Saccharomyces cerevisiae S288C: one gene and its partner. Changing the gene in region 2 together with the main gene of any one other region gives a genetic interaction. Each region holds a gene or a part of one and is shown on either strand. Other genes may lie near its edges.

Evidence for each region. A genetic interaction does not mean that the proteins touch.
Region 1: mutations in HEL1 (region 2) and YGR153W together harm fitness more than expected from each alone (negative genetic interaction), as found in Saccharomyces cerevisiae (one large-scale study listed by BioGRID).

Annotation. Positions count from the first base shown.
Region 1 is NC_001139.9:793,244-798,125, forward strand, and holds YGR153W (uncharacterized protein), read left to right. Parts: upstream 1-2,848; coding exon 2,849-3,502; downstream 3,503-4,882. Other genes in the region: Ras family GTPase RSR1, read right to left, coding at 1,431-2,249; GTO1 (omega-class glutathione transferase), read right to left, coding at 3,555-4,625.
Region 2 is NC_001143.9:471,194-475,159, reverse strand, and holds HEL1 (E3 ubiquitin-protein ligase HEL1), read left to right. Parts: upstream 1-1,810; coding exon 1,811-3,466; downstream 3,467-3,966. Other genes in the region: YKR018C (uncharacterized protein), read left to right, coding at 1-1,437; MIC60 (Mic60p), read right to left, coding at 3,821-3,966. UniProt on the Saccharomyces cerevisiae protein: Probable ubiquitin-protein ligase involved in the degradation-related ubiquitination of histones. Contributes to the post-translational regulation of histone protein levels by polyubiquitination of excess histones for subsequent degradation.

The DNA of each region.
Region 1 (4,882 bases), on a different chromosome or scaffold from region 2:
ATAAGAATCAGTTACCATCGATCGATTTGAATTCATATTACTAGTACTTTGCAATACACTGTGTAAGAAGATGTCATAAAGATTGAGAAACGGTCATCAAACTTAATGTAAGCAGAGACACGAGGATTGATGATGAAGTAAGATAATGTGCGACAAGGAAGAAAAAATAATAGCATTATGTAGAGATATCGATTCCCTTTTGTGGGCGCTATGTTCTGGAGGAGAGTTTCTAGTATATTCCTTATCCATAATGTTATATGTGATCTTTATCAACAGTGGAATCCCAACAATAATGCAATTATTCACCCATTTTTCACAAGCAAGCAAGCATTATGAGAGAAGAACGAATGTACAGTCATTTAGATGATAAGATTGGAAGTAGGTCATGATAGTCAGGATTATGTAAAGACACTTGGTGTAACCCTGTATCGGCTGATTTATAATATCGAGAAAGATAATATAAGAAGCGCCTGAGAGTCAGTGGATCGATTATCGAAAATAGAATAGAGACGTTCACGGAGACCCACTGAATGTTTCGTATTAAAGGAGGGATGACTACTAAACCATTTTCACCGCTACTGGTGGCCATTTTGTATTCTTCCATTTACAAGAATTGCTCCCGACTTTTGTTCCATCAGTGGACGATAGACCATTGTCAAACACAGTAATTCTATTTTATTCTTGAGATGAGATGCCGCAATATGACCTGATATGAATCACCCTAAATGTCCGATCTAAACAAATAAAAGGCGTGCGAAACAGCCTCACGACGAGATATGAAGTCGAAAACATCGGCCTAATTTCTGTGCTTTTTAGAAGACTACTCAGATTTTCAATATCAATACAGTGAGTTAGATCTCAGGTTGAGAAGAAACACTTTGATTTTACTAGATAGGAAAGAAAAATGGACTAATTAATCAATCATTTTGTCATCGTTGAAACTTGATAACGCACGCTAAACGATAACGACTATGTTGGAGGGAAAACATTAACGATTACTCTTTTAAGTAATTGCGAAGTATATCTGAGACTAAAGACCCTCTGAATTAATTATATCAATCAACATAAACTATAAGAAACTACAGTGTGAGCTTTAGTTACGAGAGTGTGGATCTGTTCATTTAATATTTTTTATACGTAACGCAGCATCTACCGTAAAATCCCATAGATTGCGGGCACATGGCGCAGTTGGTAGCGCGCTTCCCTTGCAAGGAAGAGGTCATCGGTTCGATTCCGGTTGCGTCCATATTTTTAACATTTCATTTTTTTTGGGTTTAAATTTATTTTCAAACATTATTAATTGATTTCTTTAAAAACTTATACAACGTATGCTAATACTTTAAACTAAACCTTTTAGAACTATAATAAAACTATTTCAAGTAAAGTCTTTTTATCTGATATCTTGATTCATTTATAATAAAATTAAGTGACTATAGAATAGTGCAAGTGGAAGCGTTTTTCTTCTTTTTCTTTTGTTGTGAAGTAGCGCTAATTCCTGTCCTGTTGCTAGAACCAGATTTCGGAACGGCATGTGACGGTTTGTGCTTTTCATTAACCGGAGTAGATTGTTTAACTTTAGCTTGTCCTTGTGAAGATTTGTTATATAAACCTTTTGATGATTGCTTATTGTTTGATTGTTTCGTATCCTGTTTCGCAGAACTAGGGAGCCTGGTTGATGGAGACTCGATTTTGCTAAATTGTTGACTTTGATTTCTTGCGTCTTTAACTGCAACACTTTCCATTTCATTCCGAATGATTTGCCTAACTAAATCAACGAACACTTCATCCACATTGCTCCTCAACAAAGCGCTTGTTTCATAAAAGGGAACTCTACCCCATTTACTGCTTACCTCTATACCTTCTTCCACACTTATTACCCTTTCATTGATTAGATCAGCCTTGTTACCTATTAGAACCATTGGAACGCGATCGGAATCTTTGATCCTAAGGACCTGTTCTCTTAGCTCCATTAATTCTTCCAAAGATTGCCGATCTGTTACTGAATATACCAACAGGAACCCCATTCCTGACTTTATGTATAATTCTCTCATTGCAGTAAATTGTGCTATACCCGCTGTATCTAAAATTTCCAGGTCGAATACCTTGTTATCGATCTCGATGGTTTTCCTGTAAGAATCTTCGATCGTTGGATCATACGTATCCAAATAAACTCCCTGTACAAACTGCACGGTTAAGCAGGATTTACCGACACCACCAGCACCCAATACTACTAATTTATAGTCTCTCATTAGTCCTAATGTTTCCTAGCCAAATATTTCTAAGCGATGATAGAAGCCAAAATATTAGAACGTTGTATGTAAATGTTCTATATCGTTACTAAATAATAGTATTATTGTTCAGTGGAGAGGATGAAATTTCAAAAACTTCTTGGCGTAGTTAAGAACGAACGCAATGGTTCTTTTTTTCGAGATCGAGCTCTACTTTACTTTTTTCTTTTTCTGTCCTTCTCTCTTTTCTTTTTAACCTTTTTCGACGATATTTCGCGTTTGAGAATGTCGAGGATGAATGCGCTTTGACGCGAATTAGTTGTGAGGCTGACGTTGTGATAAAAAGGCGATGATTCTTGGGAATATACAGTCTGTTTCCACTTGCTAGATAAAATGTATGATATTCCAAAAATGCCTTTCTCTATTGAACTGTATGACTGAGATACGCCTGCTTTTACCTTGTATATTATGAGTACTATTCGCCTTTTCCCATAAAGTTGTTTTTTTCTGGGGTTTATGTGTATCGTAAATGGTACAAAATAATAAAATTCTTATCTTGAAAATACTGTTTAATACTTTTCATCATTACTAAATAGGTTACGAAAAGAGGTCTTTGAGAAATGGGAAAGGCCTGTTTGAATAAAGAAGTCGGCACTTACGAATGTGAGGGGGAAAGAGATACCTACTCATTTTTTACCTCTCTCTCAGATATACAGGATTCAAGTAGTAACGAGGAACAATGCGGTGTAGGAAGTATATTGAGTGAAGATAGTTTCACGTTTGAAGGGTCCAACGTGAGCATACGGTTATTTTCCTTGGACTTAAATGCCTTGAATGAAAATGAGAATGGATCCAAGAATCCTGTGAAATTTACCATTCCGCCAAAAATAGAACAAAGAAAGGAAGCAAGACAAAGAGAGAAACGTTTAAGGAGGGTGGCAGTACTACCTGAGAATTCGAGAAACTACCTTGTTGAATCAAGTATGGATTCAAGTAGGGAATACAGTCAACCATTTTTTGACTGGAGGCATGAAATGGTAGAACATGGAGAGGAGAGTGTAAAACCGTGTGGTTGTCATAAATCGAGAAAAGCAAAATGCTTCAAAGAACTGGAGATGGAGAATATAGAAAAGGGCGATATAAAGAAGAGTCTCTTTTACAGAGACATAATTGAATGGTGCAGAGACTATGAAGTCAATAAAACTAGGGAAGTCTGTGTTCCGTCTATACACGAGTTTTACCTACATGGAAATGGAAGTGACAACCTCTTTTGAAGTATAGCCATGCATATAAATATATGTGTGTGTAAGAAAATATTAGAAGTTTTCATAATCTAGAAATGTCAGGCTTTGGGCCTAATGGCACTATACCAAACTGATTGATCTTGTTCCTACTTACTTCCATCCTGATGTAAAAGAGCTTAATATGATTAAAATCTGTAGTAAATCTAAACTCTGCGTAATTCCAGTATAGATTAATCAACCACAAATGAAGGTACGGGAAACCATCCCTTATAGTTTTCAAATTGCATTTGAAGTGCTGCACGTACACGACGTCAAATCTAATTATTGATGGATACAATCTGATATCCGCTTCAGTTAACCTCTGTCCTAAAACAAAATATTTAGCCAAGATTTTCTGTTTGTTACCACTGAATTGCTCCTCTAAGCGCTTATAATTTTCTTTTAGTACACATTCCATCTTCTGCAAGTTTTCAAACAGTGTTTTTACTTCAGTTTCGTAAATCTTTCCGTTTTCTGCTAATCCGACTTTATAGACACCAAGATTAATCTTCGGATGAACCCATTTGATGTTCTTATCAATCTCGTCTATTAAATCATGCGGAACTAGATCAATCACGTTCGTTTCTTCGCTTTGGATAAATTCATCAAACACGCCACTGTTCAAAATTCTTATGATATCGCCACTCTCATTGTTAACAATTTTCCTTGTTTTAGAATCCCACAGAACAGGCACAGTGAACTTTGTACCGGGGTACTTAGGATCATTTAAGTAGTACAACTCGCTTAACCTTGATATATTTTCCACCGGGTCGAAAGCGCCATCCACGAACAACCTTGCAGAGTCATTGTTCACATCACCTAACTCCTCAGATTCGTCTAATTTAGCTGAAGCAATGCCACCAGTGGCAGTAAAGAATCTCTCTTTATATTTTTCCGGCCGGTGTGGAGCAGGTAAGAAACGGGCACCCTTGGAGTCTAATTGCCAGTGAGATAACACAAGCCCTAGAACAGGTTCTAATTTCTTCAAAGACCTGGCAAGAATGGCTCTATGAGTGAATGGACACCCAAGGGCCCCGTAAATATAATACCTTCCTTTTTCTGGTTTAAAAACAGAATGTGTCTTAGAAATTGTTCCCTTGTAAGATACTGACATGGCTTACTGTTTATGATTATTTTTACGAGTATTTTCCTCTATAAGTGGCCATCTCTCCAATTGGCAAAGTCAAGACTTTTGTTATGTCAATATGTGCTACCAAAAATCAAGGGTATTTTCCCACCAGAGCTTATCAATGGCAACTGTGAGATATGAACAGCAGTTAGTAAGGGTGTGTTCTCATCCGACCCTCTGATTCATTTGGTGGCCATTACATTTTCCCTCAATGACACATTCCCCTATTTCATAACTGATTA
Region 2 (3,966 bases):
GCAATTAACAGGTTGAGAGGTGAGCTAGGACTACAAGCAATGGAAGACTTGCCAGAAGAGGAAATAACAGATCATAAAGTTCTTTCGGATGATATAGATTTAAGTCAAGCAACAATTGATGAGTTTGTCCATTCTGGTGTCAATTTATGCTTTGGTATTTTACAGGTTGTGATATCACTATTACCACCCGCTATTGGCGCGGTCCTATCTGTGGTTGGATTCAGGGGTTCCAGAGAAGAAGGTTTGAGACTTGTTTGGAAAGCCACAAAGCAAAGAAACGTGCATGGTTGTATTGGTTTGTTAGCCCTGATGTTTTACTATGATGGACCTTTCCAATTCACTGACGATGATTTTGATATTCCTGCAGCAGTTAAGGATTCCAGTAACAGTGAAGATTCTGAAGATGAAGAGATGGATGGCCCTACGTTGTTGCATCCTGGGAAAATACTGGAAGATGCGTTGCTGCAATCAAGAGCGCTATTTCCCAATAGTGCGCTATGGTTATTGAATGAGGCAAGGATGCTATCTGGTAAAGGGCGTTTAGAGGAAGCAGTCGCATTGATGGATTCGATTGATGTTAGCAAGATACGGATGAGACAGGTCAAATCCTTGATGATTTTTGACCGTGCTATAACATTGATCCATTTGCATCAATACGATAGAGCTGCAGAAGATATTTTATCGCTATTAGACATCAGTGATTGGTCACACGCTTTTTACACATATTTTGCTGGCTGCTGTTATTTAGAAAATTGGAGAATGTGCGAAATGGGATTAATGAAGTCAGACAAAAAGGATGAATACCAAAAGAAGGCCGAAGAACTTATCTTCACCTCTGTGAATTTGCTAGGTAAGAAAACCTTCAAATCGAAGAACCTGCCATTAGATAGGTTTATTCTGAGAAAAGTTGAGCAATTTAAAGCGAAAAAGGAGGAACTTGGGGTGGAAAATCCTCTGGATGGTATCGCTACTTCACCAGTACACGAAATTGCGTACTTCTACAATGGTTATAATAGAATGTCTGAAGAGCATTTGGAGCTAACAAAGAAAATGCTAACTGAGTATAGAAATCCCGCCATTGAAGCTTTAGACTCAGATCAGGAGTTAATCAAAGATCTCTTGGTCTCTTTGACATTAAGAAGATTAGGTCATATCCAAGAAGGTTGTGATATATTGGATGAAAAGGTTCTACCTAAGTTTTTCTCCATTCAAAATGGCAAGGTCAAATATATAAAGAAAACTGAAGATCCATGGGCCTATCCGACTGCACTTTATGAACGTGCTCTATTTACATGGAAGTTGGAGGGCATGGATGGCCTTCCAGAGAGTAAAGAATGGTTACTGAGGGCTCAGGGCTACGCAGATGATTATGAATTGAGTACGAGAGTAGGTATGAAAATTAAGGCTGCCATTGACCGCGTTGACCATTCATTGTAATCAAGTTTTGATCAGCCCTCATGCCCTTTTTTTTAAGAAATATTTTCCCCTATTAGTTTTCCTAATGTCCCACCTAATTTTAAAGCGCTAAGCTATACTTATTGACCGTACATACCTTGCGTAGTTTAATTACATACGATTTGATGCTTTCTCAGTGCCATCGTCCTTCCTCCTTGCGCAAAAAATAGGAACCCGCTTTAGAAAAGAGGAGAGGAAGGTGAAGAATGCTGTGAGTACTGCCTTAGTTTTAAGGTAGCTACATTTGTATTGATTTGTTACTATCCCAGCTACTATACAGGAATTATAGCCATTCTTTAAGTATATTTAATTTGTCTTTAGCGAATTTGGGTGTACTTGTTAGAGGCTTTTAACAATGAGTAGTGGTACCGAAAATGATCAATTTTATAGTTTTGATGAAAGTGATTCCAGCTCTATTGAACTTTATGAATCTCACAATACATCTGAATTTACTATACATGGACTAGTTTTCCCGAAGTTAATTAGTGTAACAAGCCAAGATTCAGAATTTGACATCAATGAAGATGAAGATGGAGTCGATACCATATATGAGGGGATGCTAGATGCTCCTCTTACGAAAAACAACAAAAGAATACTGTGTGAAGGGAGTGTACCGAATCTCAGTTATGAATGCTTAACCACCAAGGGTATATTTGAAAGAATGCTTCAAAGGGTTGACCATTTACAACCTATTTTTGCAATTCCATCTGCGGATATATTGATATTACTACAGCATTATGATTGGAACGAGGAACGTTTGCTAGAAGTTTGGACCGAAAAAATGGACGAATTGCTTGTGGAGCTTGGCTTAAGTACCACAGCAAATATCAAGAAAGATAATGATTATAATTCACATTTCAGAGAAGTTGAATTCAAAAATGACTTTACATGTATTATTTGTTGTGATAAAAAGGATACGGAAACATTTGCGTTGGAATGTGGCCATGAATATTGTATCAATTGCTACCGTCATTACATCAAGGATAAGTTGCATGAGGGGAACATCATTACATGCATGGACTGTTCCCTGGCATTGAAAAATGAAGATATAGATAAAGTGATGGGACATCCTTCGAGTAGTAAGTTGATGGATTCTTCAATCAAAAGTTTTGTTCAAAAACATAATCGTAACTATAAATGGTGCCCGTTTGCTGACTGTAAATCCATCGTGCACTTGCGAGATACGTCATCATTACCAGAATATACCCGTTTGCATTATTCACCTTTCGTTAAGTGTAATTCATTTCATAGATTCTGTTTCAATTGCGGATTCGAAGTTCATTCCCCAGCAGATTGTAAAATAACCACTGCTTGGGTTAAAAAAGCCAGAAAAGAATCAGAAATTTTGAATTGGGTCTTGTCCCACACTAAAGAATGTCCAAAATGTTCTGTTAATATTGAAAAAAATGGTGGCTGCAACCACATGGTTTGCTCAAGTTGTAAATACGAATTCTGTTGGATTTGTGAGGGCCCCTGGGCGCCCCACGGTAAGAACTTTTTTCAATGTACAATGTATAAGAATAATGAGGATAATAAAAGTAAGAACCCTCAAGACGCTAATAAAACCTTGAAGAAATACACTTTCTACTATAGATTGTTTAACGAACATGAAGTTTCAGCCAAGCTTGATTGGAACCTGGGGCAAACTTTGGGCACGAAAGTTCATGCACTACAAGAAAGAATAGGTATCTCATGGATTGATGGACAGTTCCTATCAGAAAGTTTAAAAGTGTTGAATGAGGGACGAACCGTATTAAAATGGTCATTTGCCGTGGCATATTACTCGGATGCATCTCATAATTTGACGAAGATTTTCGTTGATAACCAAATGCTCTTAGCCAACGCAGTGGAATCGCTATCGGAGCTATTGCAAATAAAAACCCCCGAAGTGATCATGAAACGAAGACCAGAGTTTTATAATAAGGCCGGATATGTGGAAAATAGAACCACTGCATTAATGGAATGCGGTAGAGAACTGCTATGTAAGGGAATTTGCAAAGCTGCAGAATGAATGTTTTGTTTTAGTATTGTTTTGGTTATTCTGTTGTTTTATTCATGTTTTTTGTACTGCGGGATGTTTGGTTATTTTGGAGTTTAAACGTTGTTGCATTTTTGTATATTTTCGTATTTTTTTATTTATTTGAACCTGTATTTGTCGTTGAAATACTATTTATATACACATTGTTGTTCCAATTCCTACAAAGTTATATTGTTTTAAAAAGATTTCAAAATTCTTTGAATCGGAAATGACGAGTAACAGCTAACTTACATTTTAGGTATTTAGTTCTTCTTTATTAAAGCCTCCTAAACAAAGTGGAAATTGAGGTGTAATGACGTACATCTCTTTTCTCTTTGTATTATTCTTTCACAACGTCCTTATTTCACAGTCAAGAATCTCTACCAGGCGCTGGACTTCTAATTTTCTTCTAGCATCTTCGATCCAGCTTTCGCAAACTTTATGAGGCCAACCCTTTAGGGAGACAACCTCTTCTACAGCATCGTTGAGGTTGG